4 linked regions of the Tamandua tetradactyla genome follow. Each later gene encodes a partner of the first gene's protein in a complex. Links are inferred from orthologs where the notes say so. Each region holds a gene or a part of one and is shown on either strand. Other genes may lie near its edges. The genes, in order: ROPN1L, DYDC1, NME5 and LRRC23.

Region 1 (7,488 bases):
CATAACTCCTGATGGGCATGTATCCAGAATATACAGAGCACTCCCAGAACTCATTAAGAAGGTGGAAGCAACCCAAGTATCCATCAGCATATGAGCGGAAAAACAAAATGTGCTACATAAGTAAAATGGAATATTACACAGGTTTAAAAAGGGATGAAGTTATGTTATATGCCACTATATGGACGAACCTTGAGGAGATCGTGTTGCTTGAAATAAGACCCAAAGAGGGAGATATTGTATAATACTACTTATATGGAATAGCTAGAATATGCAAACTCAGAAAGGCCAGGTGTGGGGTGGGGAGGAGGAATGGGGAATTAATGCATAAAGGGTATAAGGTTTCTGTTTGAGTTGATGGGAAAGTTCTGATAATGGATGGTGTGAGGGTAGCACAACATTGTGAATGTGATTAATCCCACTCAATTGTATGCTTGGGTTGAGATGGGAAAGTATATGTTGTATATGTATTTCCACAATTTAATAAAAAAGCTATCTAAGGCCACCTTTGCTGGGCCAAGACATATGTCTGTGCAGACTGTGCACATCTCCTTCAGAGTGTGCTTTGCCGTTTGTATTGGCAGCCATGTGAAAGGTGGCCCCTTGTCTAGTTGTGAACTTCCAGAGCCCTGTAACCCTCCACTGGATCACTAGATAACACCTGCCAAGTGCTCTACAGTTCCATCCCTCTCCTGCATCATCAATGTCTCTTTGTTGCCTCATTTCCATCATCATTCAGATATTGCTCTCCTTTCTTCCACTGTAAACAAAATCTTGACCCCACTTTCTCCTCCAACAATTGCTCCATTTCTCTTTGCTTTTAAAAAACTGCCTTCAAAGAGTTAACTGTACTCAATTGTTTCCCATTCATGCTCTCTCATTCTCTTCCCAACCTGTTCCATCCAGGTTTTTGCTCCCACTATTCCACTGGAATTGCTCTTGTAAAGGTCAAAAGTGACTACTACTAAAAGTCTCAGGTCTCAACTTGTCTCATCTGGCACAATTGTTTTCTCTGTCCATCAAACATTTCCCTTGGCTCCCAGGATGCCACACTCTCCAAATTTCCCTCCTACATATTTGGACTGAACTCCTTTGCTAGCTCCATCTTGTCTTGCAACTGTTTTCAAGGCTCTGGGACTTAGTCTGGACCCTCTATCCCATCTATACCCTTGGACTTGGGGCTCTTGCTCAGTTTCATAGCTATAGTGATGAAGTGTACACTGATGACTCCCACATATGTATCCTTGTTCCCTGACCTCTAGACACATCCATCCAGACAACTGCCTACAATCCCATGAACAGGTCCAAAATACAGCTTTTGATCTCCCACCACCCCAAACCTGCTATTTTTCTCAAACTCCATCTCAGTTGGTAAGCAACTGGATGGATTAGAGTTGCTAAGTCAAAAATGGTGGGAACACTCTTGACCCTTCTCTCATACACTCCGTATCCAGTCCGACAGCAAATCTTTTCTCTTAAAAATCAGGAATCTAATTCACACTATCTCCCCTGCTGCCTCTGGGTGCCTAGCTCCATCATCTCCTGCCTGGAATACTGCTATTTTTCCTGTGCTCCCTTGCCTCTGCCCTTGCTTTCTATTCTTTTCTCCATCACTGAGTCCAGAGTGAACCTTAAGACAGAATTCAGATATATTAGTCCTCTACCCAGAATCCTTCAACAGCATAAGCCATTGTGTGTGATGATGATATCACACTCAAAGCCAGAGTCCACAATGGCCTTCAAGTTTGGGCAAGACTTGTGGCTCTTCTTTTTCTCTTCATAACAGCATCAATACCTTCTCCCCGTACCCCCACCCAACAGCCACCATCACACACGCACAACTCTTGCTGTGCTCTAGCCAGCCTTTCTGTCCTCACATTTGGTTGGGCCTCAGGGCCTTTTCACATGCTGTTTGCTGTGCCTGAGTGTTTTTCCTCCGGCTCCTCCAACCGAATTTCTTGACATAAGTGTCATTCTCAGTGAGGCTTATCTAAAATTGCAGCTACTGGAGTCTTCCTGTGTCCCTGTCTCCTGTAGTTTTTTCTTTAATATTATTAAGCATACTATATGGTTTCCTTATCCTGTTTATTTACATTTTTCCCCCTTTAAATGGAAGCTCCAGAGATTTTTTTAAAAAAACTACTTGGACTACTGCTATATTCCCAGAATCTAGTAATAGTCCCTAACATTTATCAGTGCTCAGTAAGTGTTGAGCAAGTAAATAAATGAATGAATTCAGGGGGAAAAAATGGCTAAATGGTTAAAATAAAACCCCATGTCATCAGCGTATTCCATTAATGGTTTACTGTACCCTTGCAGATTTGCTTTATGTAAATAAACATACATTCACAGAATCATTTTATCACAATAAAGGTGTCATGCTAACTGGTAGATTTGTTCTTCAGGAAGTGTTCTTCACTTTGTATGTTAACTGGCATCTGATACCAGTCCATAAATAGCTGCTCCATTTTTAAATTTTGGGTGTATTGTATTCTATTGTGTAGACAGACCATGATTTAAGTTTTCTGAAGACAGTTGTCCCATTTTATTATATTACAAACTATGCTTTAGTAAACATTCTTTTCCATATAACTTTGAACACTCAGGCTAGTATTTCCACAAGATAGTTTCCTAGAAGATTGCTAAGTCATCAAAAGGTTTTATAGTGCCAAATTGTCCCCAAAACACACTAATGACACTCCTATCCAGTGTATAAGAGTCCTTATTTTCCCATACCTTCATCAACGTTGAATATTGATTATTTTCAGTTTTACCAATGTTGTTAACTTGGAAATGTGTTGTGTGATTCATTTGTTGGGATGTGGACCAAAAGGAAAGATCGGACCAACTTCTCAGGTAAAGAGCCATCGTGGGGCTTGATGCAGGGCCACGTTCATACATTGTGGGTGTTAAGGATAGCGGCTGGAGCCAGCCAGGACTCAAACCCTGCATGTGGCCTGGTCAGCACCCATCCGAATAGATCAGAATTACGTCTATGCAAAGCTACTGCAATAGAAGACAGGTGGCTCATTTCCTCCTAGGACCCAGTGTATTAGCTCAACCACCATTTCTTACTTAGGACAAGTTAAATGGAATCAACTTCTCTGTATCTAAACTCCAGGTGGCTTTTTTTTATTATTTTTAAAATATGCTTTTACTTAGTCAAATTTTCAACTTGAAGTTGATTATATTGTCCATTACAGTAATATATTTTCTAATCTTAAGAGTTATAGAAAGAAAATATAATGAGAGACTCTTATTTAGATCTGGGGTAAAAAAAAACAGTAAAAATACATTATTGATTCGTTTAGGAGAATGTGAATATGAAAGGATATTGATATTAAGAATTTTTTTTTTTAACATGGGCAGGCACCGGGAATCAAACCCGGGTCCTCTGACATGGCAGGCGAGCATTCTTGCCTGCTGAGCCACCGTGGCCCACTCAATATTAAGAATTTTTATGAATTGTTGGTTTCAGTGGCCTATAAATTTTTAATTTACTTTCTAATTTATTATGTAGGAAATTTTGGTATTAAAATTACGAATGAGATGTAAATTATTGATAGGAATGCCATCATTCTAGGTTATGTTAAAGAATTCAACTTTATACTCCCTCTAATACCCAGAAAGAGTTTGGAATGGATGATATAACAAGACAACTAAATGTTGAAAACTTTTGAAGCTGATTTTATGGTATAACGAGGTTCATTTTGTTTTCTCTAGTTTTCAGAATGTTTCAAATTTCCATCTTAAAGTTTTTAAGGAAATAAAGTATACTTACATTGCTGGGAATTTTTTTTTTTTACAGTGTTACTTTAAAGCCATTGCTGGTTTCATTTTGATCAAATATATGTGTATTTGGTCCACATATTCATAAGTAAGATTGTATTATAGGTGCTCCTCCAGCCCTATCCAGCTCTTCCAGATCCAGGTCAGTTTTCTCCCTCTTTTCCCAAAAAAAGTGATCACTTGCGTGAAGAGCATCCCCTGGGTAACAGTTCTCAATTCCGGGAAGATTATAATCTACACTTTTGTATAAATGTCCCACCTCGGAGAACCCGAGTCACCTTGCCCCTAAGCCTCGAGTAGCCACAGCAAGGGGAAAAAAGGGACTTTGTGAGTATGCCGCTCACATGTGGCTGTGGAAAATCGATCAAAAGGCCCTTTTCCGCTAGAAATGTGCAACTTCAACAGCTCTAAAGCCCGAGCTAGCGGAGGAAGGACTAGGGAGTCAGACTGGGCAAGCCCACTGCCTGGCCTAGCCGCCTCCTATGTGTGCGCATGCGCGGCGCCCGGACCCGCGCGCGTCCCGGTTGCCTGGATACCGATGCGAAACAATCGCTGCTGCTTGCTGGGGAGGGGCAAGGTCCGGTGTGTCGCTTGCAGGGACCGTTGGGCTTCATTTCCCTAGGATCCGGAGGAAGAGGCGGTAAAGCCCCCCGCCCCGGGACCCCAGCTCAGCCTCAAACCCGGGGGTGTGCGGTGCCTAAGCCCCAATGTGGTCCCGGCGACCGCAGAGCCCCGAAGCTCGGGGAACCGCCCCCCCCCCCTCCTTTCCTGTCCTCTCCTCTCCGCAGCCACCCGTGATTCTTCCCAGGCTGCTTCGTGGTCTTCGGGAGAGATGCCGCTGCCCGACACCATGTTCTGCGCGCAGCAGATCCACATTCCCCCGGAGCTGCCGGATATCCTGAAGCAGTTCACCAAGGCTGCAATCCGCACCCAGCCCGCCGACGTCCTGCAGTGGTCCGCGGGGTAAGCCCCTCGGCCGCGGCCTGCAGCCTCCAGCCCTACTTACGTGCCGGGACACTCAGGGGTCGTGCGTCTCTCGAAAGTACCTTGGCGTGTGACTGCCAATCAGAGCAGAAGTTAGGGTAGAACGCGCGCTTAGCTACAGAGTGACAACTCAGTTGTTGACGAGTGGTGTTTAAGACAACGGACCACAACTTGAAAGTAACTGCATTGGATATAACGTTTCCACCTGATGTTATAAATTCGGACTATCACAGTGTAATAACATGTAATAAAGGGTTCCTCCTTGTAACTTGATTTATGCAAGAAGGAATCCTTGATCTGTTCCCAGTCTCAGAGAATCCTGGTTGAGTTTATTAGAACTAGAATGACTGAGGTCATGGGGTCAACCGCCCGCACCCCACCCCTCCCAGGCTGCGAAGATGCCTCCCTACCGGCAGCTGCACAGGAAGGAAATTTCACAGTTTGTTGCAACAAACATTCTAACCAATTTGCAGTAACAGATATTCATAATCCCAGAGTTTCAGGACAACTGAATCTAGAGCTGTTGAAAGAAATTTGATTTTATGGAAGGGTCCTTGCCCTTTTATTGATAAACATGCTTAGATGAATGGAGGCTCACTTCTATGAGGACATAACTCAAGTCTAAGTATAGATGTAGCTTACTTTTTAGTTTGTCAGATTTTAATGACCTTCTCTGAACTTTCTAGCCAAGATGTAATCGTTTCCCAGAGCTGCTGTAAAAAATTGCCACAAACTTTGTGGCTTAAAACAATGATAATTTATTCTCCTGCAGTTCTGGAGCCCAGAAGTCAAGTCCAAAATTAGTTTCACTGAGCCCAGGCCAACTATTGTCAGGGCTGCGGTCCCTCCAGAGGCTCTAGGGGAGAGCCCCTTCCCTTGCCTCCTCCAGCTTCTATAGCAGCCTTCCTTGGCTCATGGCTTCTTCCTCTGTCTTCAAAGCCAGCAGGATAGCATCTTCATGTGTCCCTCTCTCTCCCTCCTATAGGGGTGTGATGGCTTGTGGGCCTCCTGGATAATCCAGGACAATTTTCCCATCTCAGAGTTCTCAGTCATACTACAAAGTCTCTATTAGCATATAAGGTTCCAGGGGTTCCAGTCTAGATATCTTTGGGGTCCACTATTCAGCTGCCCATACAAGGCTACTACTAGGTAATACAGTGCTTTGCCTTCTGAAAGGGTCCTTCAAGGTTCGTATCTGCCCCCCCCCTAAAAAATAGTGGCATCTGGTTTTAACTGTTAGTCAAGCCCAAATAAAAGATTGTTAGGACTTAGATTTGATTTCCATTCTATAGAAAATTTCAAGATTTAGTAAAGTTTTTTCCTGGAACATTAAAGAATATTTGGTAATATTTTATAGACAACTATTTAAAGCTTCACTTTTTGGGGGGGGGGGGAGGGGTATGCTTACAAATGAGAAATGTGTTGTTTTGCAGTTCCAGAGGCTGGAAGCTCAAAAGCAAGGTGTTGGCAAGGCCATGCTCCCTCTAAAGTCTGCAGGGTTCTGGAAGTGACTTGCTGGCAATTCAAGGCATTCTTTGGCATGCTACATAACTCAACTCTGCCTCTGCCACATGGCTGCCTTCTCTCTCTGTCTGTGTCCAAAGGTCTTTTCCTAGTAAGGACACCAGTCGTTGGATTTGGGCCCATTCCAATCCATTTTAGCCTCATCTTAATGATTCACAAAGACCCTATTTCCACATAGGATCACATTCATGGGACCAGGGATTAGAACTTGAAACCAGCTTTTGGGGGGACACAATTCAATCCACAATGAGGAAGTTACAGTCAAGGTGCATATAATGCACGTGTGATCTCATTAATGCGAGAAACTAATTGGTGTTATAAATCATAGATATGCAGCTGTCTCTGTGTTGGTAAATTGTCCCCAGCATTTTTTCACTCCTGGAGAGTCTAAACTTCACTTTTAACTTAAAAGGTTAAACTGAGAACTTTCTGAATGTTCCTTCCTTGCCATTCCTTTTTCTCAGGAACAATTTTAGAGTTTTAGAGTGAAACCAAGCATTAGTCATTAAGCAACACATTAATAACTCAAGTTAAGGTGGAAAGTGGTCAGCGTATATTAAAGGGTCATGGGATTCAGAAGTGGGTGATTGTGTCTGTGAGAAATTCTGAAAGAGACTGAGGCTAAGGCAGGGCGGTGCGGTATTGTAGGATGGGAAAACAGCATCTGGATAAGGGGAGGGTGAGAGGGAACTGTAACAATGAAAACAAAAAACAAGAACTGGATTAGGCCTCTTTCTACAGGTGGTGAAGGCATCAGAGGTGAGTGAGCCTTTATCCCAAGCCTGTCTGCTGTGCTGTGATGGAACAGTTGGTCCACTGTCCCTTATGATGTCATCACATAGCACAATGGAGGCTTGATCTGGGCGAGTGTCAAAGGCAGCTTTGGCTCACTTGTGCCTGGAGAGGACAAGCAGAGTGTAACACAAGTCAGCTTCCCCTTTAAATCAGGGTTTCCCACATTAGGCCCTTGAAAACCCTTTGGTTGGGGGAAGGGGCTTTTGTGTGCATTGCAGGCTGCAGGGCAGCATCCAGGCTTCCATCTAGAGGTGCCAGGAGCACCCTCCACCGCAGTTGTGACCATCAAAGATGTCTCCAGGCATGGTTAAATGCCCCTGGGTGGGATGAAGACAAAATGGCTCGCTCTGGAGATCCCGTGCTCTAAGTGCACTCGGAACTGGGTGACTGATGGGTTGT
Region 2 (8,607 bases), on another chromosome or scaffold:
TGTTAATAGTGAAATGTGGTATTGGAAAAGAGTTAGAATGGGCATCAAGCTGATGACAACTTTCGCATAGTGACTTCACCTCTTCCAACTACTGTTCAAAAAATGAATCATTTCTGAAAAATTCCCTCAGAACTATGGTCAAAGAGTAATGTGAAAAGCAACTTTCTTTTGATTTAATTTATTTAGAAAATGTCCAGACTTGCAAAATAAACCTATTATTTGTTTAAAGGAAGGCTGAGCATTTTAGTATAACTATAAATAAACCTGTTATATTTTCACGCCTTTGAAAAAGTGGACTTCAGAAACCTTATAATATTAACATTGCTTACACCAAAGCTAGTGAATTGTACACACTGCACCAAAGATTTTAATGCACAGGATATAGTGAGTATTTTAAAAGGTATTAGAAATCAGGTCTAACATTGCCACTAAGTCAGTTCTGTATTCAGGTATTATTGTTCCTTGTGCAGGATGCATAAAATGACAGAAATCATTGTTCAGGAGATTGTAGCAAAAATTGTGGGAGATAAAAGATATGCTTGTCTGACTGATGTATCCACAGTTGTTCCAATTATTACAAGTTTTTATGTCCACTATTATAGCAAAATAGAGGAGGTGTCTGTGGCTGATGCATAAGTAAATTGCAAATAATAAAATATTATAATATACCTGAGGTATATACTAACAACAGCCATTATTTTGTTTTTGAAAAATACTGAGTAATTTTTGAAAAGGGCTCAAAGGAACTTGTATGAAAATACATTTGTTCCAGGTGAAGTATTAGATTTTTTAAAAATCTGAGTTTTTAAACTAGTAACACCAAAGGCATTTCCTAATATTCAAGATGAATTGCCTTTTAAAATTTCTTTTTCCATAGATGGGGATTGTCACTAAGATTGATGAATATTTAAAAATTTGAATATGGAGGAAAAGGTAGGCTACTAGGAGCCTCAATGTGCTCTGTGTTGTGGCTGGGTGATTTGTGGATTTCCTGGTGCTCATCTGTTGTGGTCTATGTATACTCCATGCTGAGTTCCTCCTTCCTACCTTAACACTTACCGATGATTTAATAATACAGACTTCTGGCTTATTAACCAGTCAAGAAATATCCTTGCAGTAGTGGTAAGGCCAGTGCTTGCCTGACCAGACAACTGGCACCATCACCTGGCCAGGTTGACACCTAAACTTAACTATTACAGGCCCCAAACAATCTTTGCATGTTGAATAAACCAAGAAACTCTCCAGGCCAGCTCCAGAATTACTTTGGAGAAAGCTAGAAAGCCCCTCCCAATGAAGACCCAGTATATATACACACCTCTTCTTTTGCCTTGGAGGTTTTCCTATAATGATAAAGCCAGTGAGCCAGGTACTCTATTGGGTCGCTGGGCCGAACCTTAGCCACCTCAGCCAGTGCCTGGGCTAGGCAATTTCCAAAGCACCTCTTTAGGTAGTCAGTTTCCATCCTGGGGGTCTGGGAAACATGAAGGCAGAGTCATATTATTTTAGACATCCAATCTGATTTTTTTAAATGTACATATTCTAACCAATTCAGATTCATTTCAGGATAAATATGAGATATTTCTGAATTCATTCTCTCTCTCTCAAAAAAAAAAAAACCCAAATACATTATTGCCAACTGTTCTTACATCCTCCAGTTGTCCTAAGCCAGAAATAGGTCCTGGGGGTCATCAGGTGGTTAGATTGGTGCTTAAGTATTCAGCAAGCCTCCACTTACTCCCACACGTCTACCCTTGGCAAGGAGGACATAACTGACCATGCAGGAAATCCCCTGGGAGGGGCTCTGAGCACCCAGCGAGTTATGGTATTGTGAGGTTGGCGCTCATGGTTATTTACGAAATAGATAAAACAAATTTATTTATTTTACAGGAAACCCATAAGAAGCCTTGGGGAGGAAAAGGAGGGAAAATGAACAAGCACCACCGCCACTGGGGGACAGGCATCCTGCTTGTATACAACACAATATTCCACTTCCTATTGCTTAGATTGGGTTGATGACCCTGGATTTATTATTAATCAGAGTCCTAGAGCTGGAGGCAGTATAGCCCAAATTGTATCATCTCTTAGGATCACCAGTAGCAGAATGGCATGGTAACGTTAGGGTAGCAGTATGAATGCAGGCTGCAGATTCAAACAGACCAAATTCCAGTTCCGGTTCTGCCACTTACCAGCTGTGTGATCTCTCTAGCAAGTCACTCAGCCTCTCTGAGCCTCAGTTTTCTTATCTATAACAGAAATAACATAAATATGTACCCCATAATTGTGAGGATTAGAAGAGATAATAAATGAAAGGCACTTAGCACAGCGCTTGGCATGTAGCATTTAATAAATATTACCTATTACAGTGGGAGATTGTGACAAGAACTGGCCTAGCTCCTAATCTGTTCCTAACTCAAATTCCTGAAATGTACATATTTTAACTCCAAAAAAGCACAGTAAATATTACAGGCTTAGATCCAGTCCTAATGTTTTTTGGAGGTGTTTTTTTGTCTTGTATAAAACTGTCAATGCTGGTTTTGTTGTTCATTTTTCAGATTAAAGATGGAAAGATATGGATGTAGTAAAGAAATATACTTCCTAACTTTCTCCACTGCAAGGGCCTAGTAGCAAAAAACTAGCACCAATAAGCACTCCTAGTACCCAGCTTTTGTATTTAAATCATCTTCTTACTTAAAAGGAATTTGGGCTCTTTGGAGAAATAGCTGATTTCCAAGGCTTGGGCAAGAAGGATCCAATGAGTCTGAAATATTTTGCTGTGCCAAATAGTAAGAACATGCTAAAAATAAAATGGTTGGAAACACAGAAGCCAGCAGGAAGCAGTTCTAACCAGTCAAATCTAGGTGAATTTGACCATTAAAATAAATAATAATGGCAATGGATTATAACTCACTGAACAAAATAAGAATCCATTTGAGAATAAGTAGTGAATGAATGAATGGGGAAGAAGGGAAAGGTCTTCCTTAAAGCAGAACACCAATTAATAAATGTGGAAAGAATAATGGAGTTAAAATCACTATTTCATAACCATCACAGTGTACATGAATCAAATCAGAATTTCAGTGGGTGCCAAAACTCGGCGAATATTCGATAAGAAATAAGCTATTTCAATAGTGTTAAAGCTCCTCTTTTCAGATGAAGAAATAATTCCAAATGGAAATGTAGAAAGTTTATAGTGGTGAAACCTGATCGACACAACCTTAACCCAGGGATCGAAGTATTGAATTATATATCACCAAAAAGGGACAAACTGGCATCACAGCCCTCCTGAAGTGATGTCCTGAAAGGTACATAATACATTTTGGTGGATTCCTGCCCATAAATGGAAGAATTTAATGGAGGAAACACCAAACAAAACCAAATTGAGAAACAGTCTATAACTGAGCTGCACTCTTAAAAATATGAAGACAAAAAAAAGATGAAGAGCCATTGCAGCTTAAAGGAGACTAAACAGGAATAACAACACATGATCATGAATTGGATGTGGACCAAAAAAATGAATTCTACAAAGGACATTTTTAAAAAAAATTGGATACATGTGAATATGAATTTTAGATTAGATAACAGAATTGCGTCTAGGTTAAATTTCCCACTTTTGTTCACTGAAATAAGAATAAAGAAGAGAATGTCTTTTTTCTTAAGAAAAATACAGTGTGGTAGACTGAATAATAGCCCACCAACAATGTGCACACACTAATACCTGAAACTTGTGAATATGTTACTTTATAAGGCAAAAGGACTTTGCAGTTATGATTATGTTAGGGACCTTGAGATGGGAAGCTAACCCTGGATCACCCAGGTGGGCTCAATGTAATTTCAAGGATCTGGTAAGAGGAATGAAATAGAAATTCCTTCCTTCCTTCAGACAGAAGGAAGAAGGAAATGTAAATATGGAGGCAGAGGGGAAAAAACGCTATGCAATATCTGGCTATGAGCCAAGGAATTTGGGGGAGGAGGGGGCAGGAAAGAAATGCCAGAAGCTGGCAAAGGAAATGGATTCTCCCACAGAGCCCCCATTAAAAACCAAGCCCTGTCCACCCCCTCGTTTTTACCCTGTAAGATTCACCTGGGCCTTCAGACCTCCAGCTCTGGAAGAGAATACATGTGTGTGCTTTAAGCCACTAAGTTTTGGTAATGTGGAAGGTGGAGACAGGGCAGGTTGGTGTCCCCCTCTGCCAGTCTGTGGCCCACCTGGACCAAGGCGCCTGGATGAACAATCTCCTACACCTCGTTTACTCCAAGTGTCATCTGAGAACCAGCAGAACTGCATCACTCACTGAAATACAGATGTTCAAGTTTCACCCAGACCTACAGATTCAGAATCCATACTTTAATAAGATCCCCAGGTGATTTGTAGGCACAATCTTCCCAGAGGGCAGAATCACTAGTTCTGCATTTCTAAGAAGCCTCTCCACTCCCCAGTCATTGGTCAGCGGCCTCCCTGCCTAGGTGAGGCAAACCCTATAAGGAAAAAGCACCTGCTCAACATTGCACATTTTCAACATGATCCCAATAACCTTCCGGTTACTAAGACTGTTGCAAAAACAGTAGAGCCAGAAGAATGACAGCCACCGGGTGAGGCCTGGAAAGGGAGGCGCCAAAAAAATGTGCTCCCCTAGAGTCTGCTCACACGGTCCTCTTTGTACCTTCTGGCAAGGGGCAGGACCAGGAGGGCCGGGATTTGCCTCTGCCTGAGCCGCTTGTGAAAGGAGCCAAACGGAGGTGGCCGGGAAGTGCAAAGGTACTGAGACCTAAGGCCATTGAGCCATCGAGTTTGCAATGACCTCTGGCCCAGGGGACCTCGGGACCTCCTTGCACTTCACTGACCCTCCGGCGAATCCGCCGCTCGTTCTTCTCTGGCAGTGAAGGTCCGCTCGCTACCTGGGCACTTGTCTTGGCCGCCTCTTCCTCCCTACCTCTAAGCCTCTGGCCATCGCGGCTTGCATCCGCGCCTCTCGGCCACGCGCTCTCCACCCTCTCCAGTGCTTCCCCGCGGCCCTCCCACCCTCGCGCTCTCCTCCCCTCACGCCCGTGTTTTGCTCACCCAGCTGCCAGGTCCCTCCTCTTTTGCCGGGCACCTCGGCTGACACCTGAGTCGAGGGCGCGCTGCTCACCCTGCGTCGCGCGCACTCCTCCTTGCCGCGCGCCCCCTAGCCCTCGCGCGCGCTCTCGGCTCACCCTCTCGCGCCCCTTCCTCTCTGCCCCCGGCCTCCTCCGGCACCTAAGGCGCGTGCGTGAATTCGTTCCTTAGCGACGGGACGCGACTCGAGATTGCGCTTGGGCGTCGGTCTGCACCGGGCGCGAGCACGGAGAACGCAGGCGCAGTTTTGGAGTGTCGCACATGTTGCTTCCCAGGGTTCGAGTGAGACAGGCGGCGCTGGCAGTTGGGTTTTACGAGTGGCGTAGAGCTCGTCAGTGGTGAGCCGCGTCGCACCTGGCCCCTTTTGCGACCCGGGGGTTGTTGGAAACCGAGCCAAAGCGCCCCGGGGCGAGGATTGACAGATATTTACTAAATCTGGCGTTGCTACCCGCATCTCCCTTCCCACTTGGCTAAACCCCGAGCGTGATCCGGGGGTCATCTTCTGTCTCTTGTGGCAGCGTCGCTGGACTTGAGACAGCTGTTTCTGTGGGAAGGGACTTTCTTCAGTTGAGTCAAGATGTGGCATTTGGTGTATTTGAAAAATAACATGCCTTACAACAACCTTGGTTGATGGATACTGTGGCCATTTTGCGCACGGGAAACGTTTGCCAAGCGAGTTGAGCCTGCCCAGGTCTCACTGCTGGTGGGACTTGGGCCCACACTTAGACCAAAGGCTCCTCCCTTATTTTATTTTATTTTGTTTTTTCTTGCATGGGCAGGCACGGGGAAAACGAACCTAGGTCTCCCGCATGGCAAGTGAGAATTCTGCCACTGAGCCACTGTCGCACGCCTCCTCCCTTAGGTTTTAAGACTAAGTATATGGACACAAACACGTTCCTTTCTCATTCCTGTTTCCTATACAAAAGATGACATACTGTAAACACTTTTGCATGTCACAATAGTCCCGTTGTCTAAAATAGTCCTATCTTAGAGAGTTTCCTAATGTTTTACATCTGTATAATATAATTCCTTGTGTTGCTACCAATCCCCTACTGGTAAACATTTGATAGTTTCCGGTCTTTGTTTTAAATAATGGTGCAAGTTAACTTTGTGCATCTGTCATTTCACATTTTTGTGAATGTATCTTTGCGATAGGATCCCAGAGGTGAGATTGCTGGGTCAAAGGGTAAACACTTATGTAATTGCTCTGACTATTGCCAGTATTCCCCCTCTATGCTGTTTTGCTCTCCCACCAACATTATATGAGAGAATGGAAATACTGGGGTCTGTGGATGGACCTCCAGATGAATTTTTTGTAAAATGTTAGATGCATTTGTCTAGGGACAGGGCCTAGACACATTGACCTTCTTCCCCTACAGCTGTCGTGGTTGGTCACCGTCCAGGCGCTTTCTCATACCTGGAAGGCTCTTCCTTTCCTTCTCTGCCTCTTTTTTTCAAAAAATATTTTTATTTATAAAACAACATACAAACATGCAAACATTCTTAACGTAGAAACATTCCATACATGGTGAACAATCAGTGGCTCACAATATCATCACATAGTTATGTATTCATCACCATGATCATTTTTTTGAACATTTGTATCACTCCAGAAAAAGAAATAAAAAAGGAAAAACTCATACATACCATACTCCTCACCCCTCCCTCTCATTGACCTCTAGTATTTCCATCTACCCAATTGATTTTAACCTTTGTTTCTCCTATTATTTGTTTCTTTTTTATCCATATTTTTTTTTCTTTTTTTTTTTTTTTTTTTAAAGGAAAGACAGAGAGAAGGAAGGAAGGATAGAAGGAAGGAAGAGAGGAAGAAAGGGAAACCTCTTTTAAACATTTTCTTGTTTTATTGTATTTTGTTTCTCCGTTTTCGTTACATGGGCTGGGGCCGGGAATCGAACCGAGGTCCTCCGGCATAGCAGGCAAGCACTTTGCCCGCTGAGCCACCGCGGCCCGCCCTATCCATATTTTTTACTCATCTGTCCATACCCTTGATAAAAGGAGCATCAGACACAAAGTTTTCACAATCACACAGTCACATTGTAAATATTATATCATTATTCAATCATCTTTAAGAAACAAGGCTACTGGAACAGTTCTACAGCTTCAGGTACTACCCTCCAGCCACTCCAATATACCATAAACTAAAAAGGGGATAGCTATATAATGTGTAAGAATAACCTCTAGACTCTGTTTGAAATCTCTCAGCCACTGACATTTTATTTTGTCTCACTTTTCTCTTCTCCCTTTCGGTCAAGAAGTTTTTTCTCATTCCAGTATTTCTGTCCCATGTTGCCAGGGAGATTTACACCCCTGGAAGTCATTTCCCACGTAGAGGGGTAGGGCAATTAGTTCATTGCCATGTTGGCTTAGAGAGAGAGAGAGAGGCCACATCTGAGCAATAAAAGAGGTTCTCTGGGAGTGACTCTTAGGCCTAATGTTAGGTAGTATTAGCTTATCCTTTGCAGGAATAGTTTCATAGGGGTGACCCCCAGGATCGAAGGCTTGGCCTATTGATTTGGTTGTCCCCACTGCTAGCTAGAATATCAGAGAATCTCCAAATGGGGAGGTTGAATTTTTGTCCCCTTTCTCTCCATTCCCCCAAGGGGACTTTGCAAGTACTTCTTTGTTCACTGTCCAAATCTCTCTGTGGTTTATCAGGGCATCACACTAACCTAGAGAAATCAACAAGATTGCATGCCCTTTTCAAGATTCCATGTACTTATGATGTTAACTAAACTGACCAAACAATTTAAATTAGGAATTGCACAACCCAAAATATAAATTTTGCACCAAATAAATATCTCTCCCTTGAGTCTCACACAAAAGTTGAAGTTTTAAAACATGGATGATATCGTCCTTTACCCAGTCTTCTGTTATACCTTAGTCCTATTCCAAATAAGCTTCATTCATATCTCTACTTGATGTCTAATCACTTTTCCAACTTTTTAAACAGTTCCTGTATGGGGTACTACTGACTTTCATAGCTCCAGAGCTCTAACTCTGAGTCTCAGGTGTCACATAAATACCCAAAGTTTCTGGGAAAGACCATGTTATATACAAACAGCTCAGTATCTCAGAATTTAGAATTATGCCTTGTTGATTTTTAAATATTTCTTCATATCTTAGCTCAAATGTGACACCTTGGGAAAGTTTTCCTTCTACTTTTCCAACTTGATTAAATTCCCCTATTACCAGGTCTCCATTGCACTTACTACAATGTCAATTTTACATTTATTAGTTGACATATTTGATTAATATCTGTCTTCCCTACTCATCCGTAAATTCTATGAGGACGAATACTGTCTCTGGGGTTCCCGGTGCTTATCAAAGTGCCTGACATAAAATAGGTGCTCTGTGTATAATTGTTGAATAATGAATACATTTCTTGAAATTTTCAGAGGGATCTACATCCCATAAAACATTTAAGAGTAAGGTGAGGATGGTCAGTTCTTTCAAAGTACCCATCATATAGTGGCTGCTACTTTTTTTTTTCT
Region 3 (8,314 bases), on another chromosome or scaffold:
GATTAAACATAAAGAGAGAAATATCTCCTCACATGAGCCATAGTTAAAAGGCAGATCTTGTGTATAAACCTGTTTTATCCGTAGTTACTCATAGCTCCTTTTGCTGTCTACAAAAAGTATTCCTGTTTCCTTTGATTTGTATCTCTAAACTGTTTCCTATTACGTGGCAAAATTTATATTTAAAAGATATGCCTTCTTCCAGTACCGTGGATTGTCTTTTTTCCCCAGGAATAGGGCCTCAGGGACCTTGAACAAATTTCTGAGCCCTAAATCAGTATGTTAGAATAGTGGTTGAATATTTTGATTTTTTAAAAATTTATTTCTGTTAAACAAGTCTTAACTCATAGATTTCTTTCTTAATGGAGCTCATAGTCTGCATTTCTGTAAAGGAAGTCTATTAAGAAGTAAACCACACTTTATTTTAAGTGTTTTGTCTTAGAGTTTGCAGCCACTATTTTCATCTAGAGTGACTTCCCAGGGTTTCCTTATCTTTCTGGATTTGTCTTTACCAGGTTCAGCAGTCCATTTCTGAAGCCTGTGTCAGATAGGCAGGCCCCTGGGTACAAGGATGTGGTGAAAAGGTCAGTGGAAAAGGGGTCAAGAAAGGTTGGTTGCTTTTTTATCTGTCTTTTTATTCTTTCTCATCTATTAGATTATTATTTGCTTCATTTACATTACTTACAAACTCAACATTATATTTTTCAGCTGAAGAAGTTTGTAAAGTTATGGTGAACTCATTATTTTCATGTGAGAAGGAACTCAAGAAACAAAAGGATAACATGTATTTTTTAACATTGACTTTGAAGTAATAGGATTCATATATTGTTATATAACCTCACATTAGCATTTTTTGTTCCCCTTATTATTTATTTTATTCCTTATGTTTTACTCATCTGTGCATAAGGTAGATAAAAGAAGCATCAAACACAAGTTTTTTGTGTATCATTATACAATCATCTTCAAGAAACATGACTACTAGAACACAGCTCTACGTTTTCAGGCAGTTCCCTCCAGCCTCTCTGTTATGCCTTAACTAAAAAGATAATATCTATTTAATGCGTAAGAATAACCTCCAGGATAACCTCCTGACTCTGTTTGGAATCTCTCCGCCATTGACACTTTATTTTGCCTCATTTCTCTCTTCCCCCTTTCGGTCAAGAAGGTTTTCTCAATCCCTTGATGCTGAGTCCCAGCTCATTCTAGGAATTCTGTCCCACGTTGCCAGGAAGGTCCACACCCCTGGGAGTCATGTCCATGTAGAGAAGGGGAGGGCAGTGAGTTTGCTTGTCACTTTGGCTGAGAGAGAGAGGCCACATCAGAGCAATAAAAGAAGTTCTTTTGAGGTTGACTCTTTGGCCCAATTTTAAGTAGGCTTAGCCTATCCTTTGCGGGGTTAAGTTTCATATGAACAAACCCCAAGATTTGGGAGCTCAGCCTATTGCTTTAGTTGTCCCCACTGCTTGTGAGACTATCAAGAATTCTCCACTTGGGGAGGTTGAATTTTCCCCCTTTCTCACCATTCCCCCAAGGGAACTTTGCAAATACTTTTTTATTCACTGTTTAAATCACTCTGGGGTTTATTGGGGGCATCACTCTGGACAAACCTACAAAATCTTATGCCCTACTCAAGGTTCCATGTGCTATGGTTTTTTTAAAACCATTTTTAAGTGTATAATTTAATAGTAGTTAGTTACATTCATCATGTTGTGCAACCATTACCGCTACAACTAAAACTTTTTCATCACCCCAAACAGAAACTCTGTACTCATTAAGCAATTACTCACCAGTCTTCCCTCCCCCTAACCCTGGTAAACTCTAATATACTTTTTGTCTCTCTGAATTTCCCTGTTCTAGATATTTCATATAAATGGTATTCTACAATAGTTATCTATTTATGCCTGGATATTCATCCATTTGTGTCTGGCTTATTTCATTTACAAATGTTTTCAAGGTTCGTCTTTGTTTTTGACATTGTACTTTTGAAGCAAAACTTTGGAAAGGAAAGTTGCGATCAGGCATTTAGCTTTGCGGTATGCTAAATGCAAGGATGGTAATCCAAATGAGTGTTACAAACATTGATTATAGTATTTTAGATTTTTCCAGCATAGTTCATCTAAATACTGTCATAACCAGTGTTCTAGTTTGCTAGCTGCCAGAATGCAATGTACCAGAAAACGGCTTTTAAAAGGGGAATTTAATAAGTTGCTAGTTTACAGTTCTAAGGCCGAGAAAATGTCCCGATTAAACAAGTCTGTGGAAATGTCCAACCTAAGGCATCCAAGGAAAGATACCTTGGTTGAAGAAGGCCGATGAAGTTCAGGGTTTCTTTCTCAAGTGAGAAGGCACATGGTGAACGCAGTCAGGGTTTCTCTCTCACCTGGAAGGGCACATGGCAAACATGGTGTCATCTGCTAGCTTTCTCTCCTGGCTTCGGATTTCATGAAGCTCCCAGGAGGCGTTTTCCTTCTTCATCTCTAAAGGTCGCTGGCTCATGGACTCTCTGCTTCGTGGTGCTGCAGCATTCACTGCTCTCCCTGAATCTCCTCCATTCTCCAAAATGTTTCCTCTTTTATAGGACTCCAGAAACTTATCAAGACCTACCCAAATGGATATAGACATGTCATCACCTAACCCAATTTAACAACCACTCTTGATTAAATCACATCTCCAGGGAGATGTTCTAATTACAGTTTCAAACATACAGTGCTGAATAGGGATTAGAAGAAACGACTGCCTTTACAAAATGGGATTAGGATTAAAACATGGCTTTTCTAGGGGGCACACATCCTTTCAAACCAGCACAACCAGTGTATTAACAGAATGTTCAAAGATCAGGAAGGGACTTTCGCAGGCAAATTCTTTCATTTTCTAAATGAGGAAACTGAGATTCAGAGGTGGTCATGACTTGCCTATGATCAACCAATAGGTTATAGCAGAGCTAGAACTAAATCCCAGATTCTATTTTTTTTGGGGGGGAGACTCCTTAATGTTTATATGTACCTCCATTCAGGCATATTTTATTCATAGTGACCCCCTTATTTTCAATAATGCATATTTTAATCTCCTTTAACATTGAAAAAAATCTTTTCCGAACAGAAGAATGCCCATTTGTAAATACCAGACAGTTGCCTCCCAGTTCAATCTCTACACTGCTGTTCCTACTCATATACCCCCACTCTCTGGGTCTCATTAAATAATAATTTGATTTGTCTTATTATTCACTTGATTCTCACCTTTGTTCTCCATGAAAGGAGAACTGACTGACCTTTGAAGATCTTTGCAATATTTTACCTCGGCGCTATCCTATTACAATAGTAGAATATAGTGGCTGGGCCTTAGGGCTCTGGAGTCAACTTCTTTTATTAGAATCTAGGCTGGCTCGCTTTGCGCAAGGACTTAATCTTGTTAGATCTCAATTTCACCATCTAAAGGGGGGATAATAATACTTTATAGGCTTACTGAGAGAATTAAGTGCGTCAGTATGCAAAGTGCCTAGCATAATGATTAGCCTGTTGTAAGCAATCAAATGTTAGCTGCTGTTGCTAGTTTATTTTGTGATGGGAGTTGTTATTTTTATTATTTTCATTGAGAAGAGGTTATTCTCCAAGAGAGTATGTTAATGTCACCACATGTTCTACATGAAGGTTTGATTTCCCTTGATTTCTTTTGGTCACTTGCAGACCCATGGACTTAACTAGCCTGAAGAGGAATCTATCTAAGGGACGGATTCGCACCATGGCCCAGTTCCAGCGGGACCTGATGCTGATGTTCCAAAATGCTGTGATGTACAATGACTCTGACCATCATGTGTACCACATGGCTGTGGAGATGCAGCGAGAAGTCTTGGAGCAGATTCAGGTACTTTTTTGTAGAGAGCTGTGAAAAAGAATTTTTTTACATCTGGAATTTGATTTCAGGAAATCTGTGAGAATAAGTGTGCTATTGAGGTAAACTTGTGTTCCGAGAGTTTATCTTTAGGGGTTATTGAAGGTCTTAAAGGATTGACACTGTACCTACTGGCTGTATCCCTTAGCCTCTGTAGAGAGTGAAGTGAAATAGCCTGGAAAGGCAGGCAGCAGTAAAGAGCTCTCAAAAAGCTGGGGATAGACAAATAATGGGAGCTGTACTTCGAGAGCCTCAGGTCAGAGGGCTGAATATGCAAAGCAGATTCCGGAGTCACTAACCATTCTTTTGTTTGCTACACCTGTTGATACTAATGTACTTTCACACTATCACATCTTTAGCGGATAAGATATAATAACCAGAAATAAACATTTAATGGTTCCTTTTCTGGAAGGCATAATACTTTAAAGAGGAAAGTGTAATCAAATTTATGTGCAGAAGAAGAAATAATATTGCATTTAAATTTCTGTAATTTTTAAGATCCACATTTTGCTATCTGTCTTGACTCTTTAGGTGCTGAGTATTTGGTTAGACAAAAGAAGAGACTTAAATAGTCTGGAGTGAGAATTGTCCAACCTTGTGGATGATGAAAAACCTATTTTGTTACCCTGGAACTGCTACCCTGACCTTTTCTGGAGTTTGGACCTCTCCTTGAGATTCTGATCCTGAGAAGATTTCAGTACTTGTTTACCACGTTTCTGTTGCATTTTCTAAAATAGTAATGCCCCAGTTTACTACCAAGGAGAAGAAGAGGGAAGCTGAGATTGTGTTTATGCCACAAATGTAGCCCTACATCTTTGTTCCTTAGGTTTAATTTAGAGGTAACTTGATTAAACCTATTACTGAGCTATAAATAAATGTTATTTCGCAAACCACAAATTGCTTTTTTAATCGTTACAGAAGCTAGGGATAGAGGAGACAGCATGATTTGATCAAATGAGGATGGGATTTGACAAGGATTTTTTTGCGTTTGTTGTCTGGAAGGGATGAGGGGGGAGTGTCTGATTTTTCTTCTCATTCGTAAAGTGGGAATGAAGCATCCTCCTATAGAGAAGAGGATGAAATAAGATAAATTATGAGGAGATATAAAACAAACAAAAAACAATAGCGTCTAGCGCTCTAAGATTCGCAGGGGGAATAAAATCATTTGTAGTTGGCTCCCTTTCTTGGTTAAAAGGAAGCGGTAGAAGGGCACAAAGCGCTCTGCTGAGATTGACCCTCTGCAGCCACCATCCCTGAACTGGGGCTTCAGGTCTCCTAGCAACAAGCTGTGGTCGCAGTGGAGGGGAGGGTACTGCGGTGAGTGCTGGCATTGGGGTGGACTTGGAATCTGCGGGAGCACCCGAAGAATCCCAGAGGACCCGGGGGTCCTGCTCTCCAACCAGGCTTGGTCCTATATGTGTGGTCTTCTATAAGAGGTGTAGTTGTTCTAAGGCAACCCGTCCCCGAAGCCTACGGGATTCCCCTTTCCTTTGGTCCTGTGAGCCCCTCTATCTTTCCTATCTTGGTGGAAGTGCTTACGAAAACCCAAAGCGTGACCTGGACACAGGACAGAAATCGTGATCAGTGAGACACTGCTTATAGAAAAATATGTGACAGTTTCTAATTTCTTAAATTAGTAATATCAAGCATCTATTATTGCGGTTATTAATCAGAATTACATTAAATTGGGAGGGTACGTGTCATTGCAGTTGATACCTGTCAAGAAACTTAAATTGTACTCTGAAGGGACAGAATGGAGATATCAATGCCCCCACCTCAGATATATGTAGAAAAGACTCTGGCCATTATCAAACCAGACGTTGTTGACAAAGAAGAGGAAATAGAAGATATCATTCTCGGGTCTGGATTCACCATTGTTCAGGTAACTTCTAGGCACCATGATCATGCTTTTTTTCTTTTTGCTCCTTTATTTAAATGTGTATGTGAATGTGTTACTCCATTTAGATTTTTAGTATATAGCATTAAATTTAGGTTTATTCTTTTGAGGATAAAAGTAGTATGTGATAGTTATGAAAATGTTATATACCTCGAAAAGATATAAAATGAGAAGAAAAATGATCTCTTCCTTCACCTGTCTTCTCCCACTCCAAGTCCTCGAATCCATAGGCAACTACTGTTAACGCTGTCTGTTGTTCTAGGAGTTTTCTATGTATTTACAAACATTTTTTCCCATAAAATATAATAGTTCCCCTCCCTTGACCTCCTTTACAAAGTCTCTCTGGTAGCATTCCACAGTGTACATCTGCATCTATCTCATTCTTCCTAACTTCTGTGTAACATTCCCCTGTATGGATAAGTCACAGTTTATGTATTTATGTTCTACAGATGGACTTTTAGGTCATTGGTGTGTTTTCAGTATTGTAAACATTTAATGTTTTAAGCCTCATATTTGTTCTGCTTTTGGTAAATATTGTGATTATAGAGGCTTGAGAATGAATATAAAAAGAATATTTTAAAAGCTTATCAAATATGAGGGGTGCAAGAGTAATTCAGTGGTAGAATTCTCACCTGCCATGTGAGAGACCCAGGTTTTTGCACTTCCCCCAAAACAAACAAACAAGCAAAACAAACAAACAAACAAAAATTCAACAAATGGTGCTGCAATAACAGGATACTCACATAGCAAAATAATAAAATGTGACCCTGTCATACAGCATACGAAAAAAAAAAGCTTATCAAATACAGTTGAAAAAGTTTTTACCCTTTCTTTACCATCCTTATTTAAATTTCCAGTTTTTTAATTCTCTTATATTTATACAGGGTCATGCGCCTAGTTAATAAAATTACACTGAGATTCTATTTGGCAAAAATCTAAAAATAAAAGGCACAACCCCTTTTGAAGGGAAACTGGCAGTTATCTACCAGTATTACTGATGCATTTACCGTTTAACTCAGCAGTCTTACTCCTGGGAATGCCTCCTATAGAAACTCCTATAGTAACATAAATGGTATATATTTATATATATATATATATACAGATTATTTTTTACAACATTGGTTATTTACCAGCAAAATATTGCACAAAACTCTGCAGTAGGAGATTGGTTTAATAAACCCTGATGAATTCACTAAATTGAATACTGTGCAACTAACTGTAAAAAGAAGAATGAGGAACTTCTCTGTGTACTGTTATGGAAAAAAGCAAGCTGCAAAACAGCATGTGGCAACCTTTTGTGAAGGAAAGGCGGAAAAGGAATGTATATTCACATTTGCCAATATTTGCAAAATTATTAATATTATTATTATTATTTTTTTTAGGCCACATCTGAGCAACAAAAGAGGCTCTCTTGGGGTTGGCTCTTAGGCCTAAATTTTAAGTAGGCTTAACCTTTGTGGGGTTAAATTTCATATGAACAAACCCCAAGACTGGGGGCTCAGCCTATAGCTTTGGTTGTCCACACTGCTTGTGAGAATATCAAGAATTCAACTTGGCGAAGTTGAATTTTCCCCCGTTCTCACTATTCCCCAAAGGGGACTTTGCAAATACTTTTCCACTCACTGATGAAATCACTCTGGGATTCATCGGGACATCAAAATTAAAAAGTGGGAGCTAAATGAACTTAAAAAAATGGCTACCTATTGAGGGCAAGGAAGAACAGGATGGATTGGGACAGGGATGGGATTGAGATTTTTCAGGATATACCTTTTTTATATTGCTTTCATTTTTTGAAACTTTTAATACCCATTGATTTTTTAATCATAGAAAAAAATAAGCATATAAATAAGATAAAGATACACCTTTCAGTTCAAAAAAATTTATAAGTCCATATTTTAAAATGAGAATTAATGAAAATTGTTAATAATTAAGTAGCTAATTATAAATCAGTATAACTACTCATATTTAATACTTTCTCTTGTCAGCAATAAATTTCAGACTATCGAAGCCATGGTGTGTCAGATGCTTTAAAATAGGCTTTACTGTAGTTGGGAGTCTATTGAACTTGAGGCTTTCTTGTCCCATGCTGGGAAAGCCTTCTGAAAAATTATATATCCTTTCAGTTGGTGCCTGTGTTTCCTTTGTTACAAACTGAGGGTTCCATTCTTGAAAGTATTTTATCACCACTTCTCTTTGTAAAAATATTCAACCTAGTTCCAAAACTTTTTCCCTGATATGAATTTTAAATTAACTAATGGAATCATTGATTCAGTTTCAACTTTAAAGTCAAATCCTTGATTTTTAAGATTATGCTGTATTAGTTAGGATATCTGAAGAAAGTAGCTTCTTCTACTTGTAGTATGGGCATGATGTAGATAAAGCCTTACATTGCCACAGGTGAGATTTTATTTTTAAACCTCTCAAGGGAAAAAACTACCCATATGCATTAAAATAATAAATGCTGGCTGGTGTTAATTTTAAATAATTATTCATAATACTTTTAAAAAATAAATGTTAAGAGGGGTGCAAGGG
Region 4 (7,720 bases), on another chromosome or scaffold:
TGTGATGATTTAATTAAAGAAAAGGAAAGCTGTGAACCCTGAACCGTGTACCCTTATCAACCATCTATCCTGGATATACTTGCCAGTGTATAAAAATAATAATAATGCCACCATGATTGTGGATACAGGCCTATGATGAATAATAAGTAAAGGACCCTTGTAGAACCCAAATGGTAGAAGGCATGGGGTACAGAGAGGGAGAGTAAACCTCAACTGGCTCTGATTTAGCTTGAGAAATTGCCCAGGCTCAGCTACTTCTGGTTGTTTAAAATATGATATTCAACAGTTGTTGCACTGAATCTTGAGCTGCTCAAATACATGCTGATAATTACACATATATTCCATAATGCTACAAGTAATTCTAACATTTAATCTTCTTTATCAACATGTAACATAAAAAGTACACTCATCTTAAATTGCTCAATGAAGTTATTACATGTGTATACATTTGTGGACTACCACCCAAAAGATCAATATAAAGAACATTTCCAGCATTCTAGAGAACTCCTTCTTGCCAGATAAACTCCCACAGGTAACTTTGTTTGACCTCTATCACTGCTTAGTTTTGTCTGTTCTTCCATTTCATATAAATGAAACCATATAGTACGTACTCTTTTGTGTCTGACTTTTCTCAACATTATGTCTGTGAGATTTTGTTGAATGTAACAGTGGCTTGTTATTTCCATTATTGGACAATTCCATTGTGTATTAATACCACAGTTTATTCTACTGATAGGCATTTGGGTTTTTTCCAGTTTTTAGTTATTATGCAGAAAGATACTATGTCCATTATAGTGCAAGTTCTTTTGTGGACCTAGGCACTCATTTTTGTTGCAGACGTGCTAGTTCATAGGAAATTACAAATGTATAGATTTAGCCACAGGTGATTTTCAGGTTTTTCTCCATGTGGGATTTTATTAAGAATTTAAATCCTTCAGGTATTTTGCAGCATGGACTACTTCAGCAAATTTATGATGATTTCAACTTCTTGCCTCTTCGTATTCATCATCTTTATCTTATCAGTTCCTCAAACTTCTTATTAGCATTTCTCTGTGGTTCTTAAGAAGTTCTTCAATTTATTCCTCAAAGATTTCCATAAAGCCACCATGATCCACTTCCTAGGCCACTTCAGCAATGAGTTTCACTTCTTTTCCACAGAAAATCCTTAAATTCTAAACTCATTGTTGCCAACCTACACTGAATGATTCAGATTTCATTGCTTCCATTGTCTGTTTAATATAAATTTTGCAACTGGCAATATGGAAGGACTTCCAAATCAACGTCACATTAAAATGAGTCAGCATACATGGCTCTGGGAATCAAGGAGCAATCTCAGCCTCATATATGTGTCTTTGAAATAGCAAATCATGCTTAGATTAGCAGACAGAGGGTGCGGTGATACTGTGGGGAGGAAGAAGACTTCAATGTTGTTAGTACACAACGGAGTACCTCAGGGTGAAGCTATTTGTGGTCAGCCATGCTAAAGCCAAGTCTTTCTCTTTGAGGTCCTGCTTGACTTCTAGAATGAACAACTGTGGAACTAATCAGGAAAAGTGCTGCTATCACCCCAAGACTTTGCATTTGATTGTTGGGCACCAACAGATTTTTTAGGGAGTGGGACTCAAGGATTTGTAGCGCTATAGAATATGTCTGGCATTATTAAATACATTACATTGCCACTATAAGAGGGGGACAGATGGAAAGGAGAGAAAGGAGCAGAGATAAAGTCATTAACTGCCTTCAAACAGGGCCTTGTGTTTCTAGTTTGGAAATCTAAATGCAGTTTCCTCCCAGAAAATACCTGTCTCATCATATTCCACAAGATAGCCCTTTTCGCTGGTAATACTTTTTTTAAATCATTGATTCTACTCAAGGAGCAAGTGTGTTACAGTGAAATGTATAGCAACTTTTATTATTTTGGAATATTTTTATTCAGGGAAAAGACTCTTGTGGACTTCAGTAAATATTTGTCTGTGGTTCTTCGGGATATTGGTTGGGAATTTTTTAATTGCTACATGTGCCAAGACAAACGCACTTGTCACCCCATTGGCTTATAGTTTGAAAACTTGAATCAAATAGGAATATCAGAATGTTTTCCATGATCCAAAATAATTTTCACATCAGTTTTTGCCTCAGTTGTTGTCTCATTGATTTTTTGATGTATCTTAAGCACTTTATTCAAATCACATGAAGGCTAAAAACTTTTTGTTATAATATAGTATCAGATTAAACATTTTCCTAACTTCATCTTTCTTTCGGCCTATTCTGTTTCTCTTGGTTATTTTTTTTTCAACAATTTTACCTCTGAGTGTGTGGACTTTTTTTTTAATTTAAGAAAACAATTTATTTAGAACCCCCAACAATGGATATCTTAGCTTAACCACAGGCATATTTAAATAAATCATTGTAAAGCCTGTGTTTGCGCTGTAAGTTTCATAAAGCAATTTAAAATTAAGGCAACAAGGAAAAAAATCTGCAAATTCAGACGGCAGAGTTCTTACATTCTAAATATTAAACACAAACTTAGATACCACTGAATCAGCTGTTAAAACTGTGAATGTTCTCAAAATATCACGTAGAAAGTTCTTGCAAATATCTACATTGTTATAGTAATGGCCTATGTTACTCAATATTTTCCTGATTTCAGGAAAATGTGAAGCTACAAATATTTTTATAATGAACATATGGAAATCTCAACCACCTGAAATTGTTATCTTAAGTTAGCTTAGCCATAGGCATTAAGCTTATCCATAGGCCTTTTAAGAATTAAGAAATTTTACTTGATTATCGATACATTACATTATAAAAATATCTGCTTCTGTCTCCCACCCACATTAATATGGATAATGGGGTGGCTGGTACTCAAATATTCTAAACAGGCTCTGTTAATAGTTATGTGTGTATTCCTATTTTATAGAAAGTTGGCAATTAGTTGCTTTTAAAAAATTTTAAATTTACTTTTTTAATTAGAGAAGTTGTGGGTTTACCAATAATTTTTAAAAGTATCTTTGGATGGGTTTTGCTGCCTGTTCCTGCACAGACACAGCCTCACAATTTGCATATTTTTTGAGGTTGAAGTGGTTTCTGAAACTATTAAGCCATCTTTGGCTGGTTTTGAAATCCTTACATCCGAATGCCCTGTTCCCTGGCAATAAGTTTGAACTTTGACTTCAGAATGAGAGCTTTACTTTCTTTTTTTCGTTTTTTTTTTTTTTTTTTTTTTGCTATGTATTGCCTGTTAGACACGTTTCTGGTTCATGTCCTCTAACTGTAAGTTTAGTGCCTTTTCTGACTTCAAGTACTTATCACACCCACTTTGCTGTCACCTTAGCAACTGTAGCAACGTTCTGATGATCTAGCTTCACAAATTTCTTGAATGTTGATTACACATGCAGATTCTTGACGCCATATTTATGTGGCTAATATCAGAAACGGACACACCACCCTCCCTCAGAAAAACAGTTTTTCTCCCAGCATTTACAAAGATCCGATTTGACTGGACTGCCTCTAAACGGGTCATGTTATATGGAAAGGAGATATATTAAAACAACAGAATCGTAGCCCTGCAAGGTATCTACACTGAAGAAACCCAGGAGAACAGGGCCCAAAGAAACAACATAGTCCATTCTTCCATCTCACGCTCATGTGATGTTGGTTGGCCACCCTGTGTCCTATTTAAACGAGTATTGCTGATATCGAGTTAAATATGTCATGAAACTCACAGTATCTCATTTAACTCTACAAAAATGATATGTCAATTTCAACAGATTCACAGACTGAGGCTTACAGAGATTAAACAGCTGGTCCACAGAGCTGGTAATTAGCAGCATCAACAATCAAACATAGAGGTGGGCCATGGTGGCTCAGCAGGCAAGAACGCTTGCCTGCCACGCCAGAGGATCCGGGATTGATTCCCGGTGCCTGCCCATGTTTAAAATAAAAAAAAAAGAATCAAACATAGGAATACTGACTACCAAGCCCACGGGTGGCGAGAAAATGGCGACAGCGTCTGTAGAAAATATGGCCTAGGAGGCCGCGCTGCCACCCTGCGCAGGCGTATAACCTTCAGGTTCCTTAACCATTGCAAAGCACGCGGCAGGCAGCACGCTGACTCACGCCGGCCCATTGTCACGTGAGCGGTCACGTTGGGGGGCGGGGCGGCTGCGCAGCGTGCCCTGCGAACCCACCACCGGCGCCTTGGTAAAGGCGACTCCACCCATCCTCGTCCGCCGGCCTTGTGATCTCGGAATGAAGGAGGAGCCGGCAACCCCCGCCCCGCCAACCTACTCCCTGGCACCCGCATTGGCGTCTGGAACGTTCTGCGCCGGAACAAAGGACTCTGAGTGGAGGCAGGGTCTCTGGCTGAAAGCCCATCCTTAAAGGCAAGGAGGAACTAGGGTTTCCTGCACTAGGGTAACTTTCCCAAGCCATCAACCCCCAGATGGGTCCCAGGACCAAATAAATCCTGTGTCGAGGGGCCAGCTTTTCCAGAATAGCAACTAGTTCCATCCCCTTATTCCATATTAAGGACACTTCTTCCAGGGTGAAAAAGTTAAAATGGGTATGGCCCAAATACCCCTAAAGAGTGGGAGAAAGAAAGATCAAAGGTGATGGTGGAGTTTTACAGAGAAGGTCGGGTTTAACAAATGAGTATGGGTGCTGAATCATTATACTGATATTTCTTTTAGCCTCCAGTACCTTACAGTAGCTAGAAATAAAAACCTAAAATTGTGGAATTGTAACCTATACCACACTCTGTTCAACTGATTGCTGTGCTGTACTTTGAAATTTATTGCTCTTCTGTGTATGTTATTTAAAGAGAAGGAGGAGTATAACTGAAAAGATAGGATTTAACAAATGAGTATGACAGCTGAATCATTATTGTTAGACACTGGGTAGCTAAAGGATTCCACATGAAACAGTGAGTTAAAGCTTAACAGTTTATTGAGAATTAGAGAAACAGATTGAGAGCAAAGGGAAAACAGGCAGGTGGGAGCCAGCAAAACCTACTACCGAAAGGAAAGGAAAAATGACTCCAACTTTCTGACAGCTTGTGGTTTTAAAGGAAAAACCGTGCCAAGAGGGGTTGGGGGTGCACAGGCATCGCTGGGAGATATCAGGCTGGTGCAGATCATGACTTCACACTTACGGTTATCTGGTCTGGCTTCTGGCAGGTGGGGTGTTGGCACGTTTGTCCTCACTGCTGAGGGAGAGAAACTGAAGGGACCCCCGTGTTACAGAATCCATTTTGTATATTAAGTTTTATTTTCTGATACCTGACAATTATATTAATATTTCTGTTGGTCTCCAGTCTTGGATCAGCTAGAAGCAAAAATGAAAAATCGAGGAACTGTTACCCTTACCAAACTTTAAAATTTCTTGTATAATATTTGTTAAAATATACTTAGAAATTTATTGCTTTTTTGGATATATATAATTTTTCACGATTAAAAAAAGTTAAAAAAGAGGGTGAGGGGGCCTCTAGTTTTTGGGAGGGCGGTGGGCCACAGAAGGGAGTGGAAGGGACAGAAGGCTTGGGCAAATCATATAATTAAGCCTCAACCTCCACCACCCCCGGCCTCGAGTTTCTTTACATATAGGGTTAGATTCCACTATCCCTCAGACAGGTTTCCTTGTTTCCCCATCATCTGTGTACTTCCTGCTATAATGTTAGTTTTGTCTTGGTAGTCTCTACAGGCAGACAATCATTTTCTTTACCCTGGACGAGGGAGATTGGAAGTAAGAGACACCCAGGTTATGTTAGAAACTGTGCATTGTAAGTGAGCAAACCTATTATGCTAACCACTCCCTCTTAAACTGACTACCCCACCTGGATTAGTCAGAGTTGTCATAAATCTTCCTTGCTAAATCTAATGCCCTCTTATTTATCCTTGCTGCTTTTATTTCAACGTTTTCTAGTTTTCAATATCCCACAGAGCCTTGTTACTTAAAGTGTGGTCCGTGGACAAGCAGCATGGATGTCTTCTGAGAATTTCATAATTTATATTTTAGTGAGATTCTCGGACAATTCCTATGCACTTTAAATTTTGAGAAGTAATCCTCCAGAGTACTTACTAGAAGAACAAAAATATACCTTTAAGAATTTTTATTGCCACATTATTTATAATGTTAATTTTTTAAAAAGTCAATACCTATCAACGGGGAATAGAAAAATTACAATATATCCACATAATGGAAGACAACTATAACAAAGAAAGGAGGTAGATCTATGTTTAGTGATATGAAAGATGTCCAGGTTGTACTATTGGATGAAAAAATCCGGTCGATGAACAGTCTGCATGATTGATAGCCCTTTTGTTTCTTAATTAAGCAATGTAGATTGAGTCCTTGTCAACTAAGCACAAAATAAGACTTTCAAAGGCTCCCGACAGCTTTCAAGATAAAGTCCAGATTCTTGAGTGTGATCCATCTCCATTTGCTGCTCCTGCCTCATACTGCCCCCCCATCCCCCCTTCCAACGCGCCCTCCCCCCACCCAGCACTCCTTCCACCTCCCCTGCACCTGCTGTCCTAGGTGGCAGAACCACCTGTTCTCCTTGCACTAGGCAATGGCCTCTCTCTCGCGTCTAGACCTTCACACAGGTGCTTCCTCTGTCTGGAATTTCTGCCCCCTTCACCTGGCAGTTCTTGGTTCCGCCTCTGGAATGGCTTGGTTTTCCTGACCCTGCACTAGATCAGTTGTACACCCTTTATCCCCCACAAAGTTCCATATTCAAATTCATCTGTAAAGTGAGAATTATAGCTCCTACTTCATTGTTTTGTGAGGAATATGGGTAATATGTATATACACATACTATAAAATTATCCCTTGGCACTTATTAAAAGATCACTAAATGTTGGGTATCATTATTATAGCATCTGTCTCTTGTTTACTTAACCCTCTCAATGGCCTGTAAACCCTCTGAAGATAAAGTTTTTTATTGTCCTTGAGCACCCACCATTTAGAGTCTGGTGCAGAGTAAACTCTTAACAAGAGTATATTAATTGATACTTCCCTAGTCCCTAGGCCACACCTTTTCCTCCCACCTAAAGTGTATTCTTTTTTTTTCAGGCCAAGGAAAATCACATCCTTTCCCTTTGAGTACAGCAAACCACACCACATAGGGTTTTCCCTTCTCTGCACTCTAACAATGCAATAATTTTCCTTCAGTAGGACTTCTGGCTCTTTAGGGTGCTTTCATATTCTTTCTCTTTTCTCACAACAACCTCAATAATGAAGAAACTGAGGCAAGGGATGGGGAGGGGCAGAGAATTGTTTAGGGAGCATCTACTAAAGTTAAGGCAATTTACCCCACATTATCTGTTTTCACTCCAACAATCCCTTGAGGTGGCCATTTTTAGCCCCACTTCACAAAAGTGGAAATTAAACTTCAGTAAAATTATATAACCTGCTGAAGAACACAGCTGTTAAGTGGTAGAGCTTAACATTGAACCCATTAAATGAACCCATTAAGTAAACCCATTTTCTCTGTAAAGCCCTGCTCTTTCTTTCCATGACACCATGTGAACCGATTTGCCTATTACTTACATTTCCCTAGCTGGACAGGACAGGTGATTATATTTCCTGACTTCCAGCGTACACTTCATCCACCAGGCCACTCTGCATGTAATATAAAGTCTATACCACCCAACTTCACAGTTAATCACTTGATATTTTACCTTATTATCTAATTGTCTTATCTACATTAGAATCCACTATA

Evidence for each region.
Region 2: ROPN1L (region 1) and DYDC1 share a complex: the UniProt entries of both Homo sapiens proteins name them as parts of the axonemal radial spoke complex. The link is inferred for Tamandua tetradactyla from reciprocal best matches to the Homo sapiens genes ROPN1L and DYDC1.
Region 3: ROPN1L (region 1) and NME5 share a complex: the UniProt entries of both Homo sapiens proteins name them as parts of the axonemal radial spoke complex. The link is inferred for Tamandua tetradactyla from reciprocal best matches to the Homo sapiens genes ROPN1L and NME5.
Region 4: ROPN1L (region 1) and LRRC23 share a complex: the UniProt entries of both Homo sapiens proteins name them as parts of the axonemal radial spoke complex. The link is inferred for Tamandua tetradactyla from reciprocal best matches to the Homo sapiens genes ROPN1L and LRRC23.

Annotation. Positions count from the first base shown.
Region 1 is NC_135335.1:58,942,325-58,949,812, forward strand, and holds the start of ROPN1L (ropporin-1-like protein), read left to right. Parts: upstream 1-4,294; 5' UTR 4,295-4,426; intron 4,427-4,574; 5' UTR 4,575-4,618; coding exon 4,619-4,749; intron 4,750-7,488. UniProt on the Homo sapiens protein: Functions as part of axonemal radial spoke complexes that play an important part in the motility of sperm and cilia. Important for male fertility.
Region 2 is NC_135339.1:15,513,096-15,521,702, forward strand, and holds the start of DYDC1 (DPY30 domain-containing protein 1), read left to right. Parts: upstream 1-5,262; 5' UTR 5,263-5,433; intron 5,434-8,607. UniProt on the Homo sapiens protein: Functions as part of axonemal radial spoke complexes that play an important part in the motility of sperm and cilia. Plays a crucial role during acrosome biogenesis.
Region 3 is NC_135346.1:17,791,050-17,799,363, reverse strand, and holds the start of NME5 (nucleoside diphosphate kinase homolog 5), read left to right. Parts: upstream 1-5,113; 5' UTR 5,114-5,202; intron 5,203-5,210; exon of another isoform or gene 5,211-5,631; 5' UTR 5,632-5,638; coding exon 5,639-5,767; intron 5,768-8,314. Other genes in the region: BRD8 (bromodomain-containing protein 8), read left to right, coding at 513-581, 3,681-3,858, 4,417-4,467. UniProt on the Homo sapiens protein: Functions as part of axonemal radial spoke complexes that play an important part in the motility of sperm and cilia. Does not seem to have nucleoside diphosphate kinase (NDPK) activity.
Region 4 is NC_135333.1:69,193,322-69,201,041, forward strand, and holds the start of LRRC23 (leucine-rich repeat-containing protein 23), read left to right. Parts: upstream 1-4,150; 5' UTR 4,151-4,382; intron 4,383-7,720. UniProt on the Homo sapiens protein: Essential for sperm motility and male fertility. Plays an important role in the proper assembly of the third radial spoke (RS3) head and the bridge structure between RS2 and RS3 in the sperm flagella.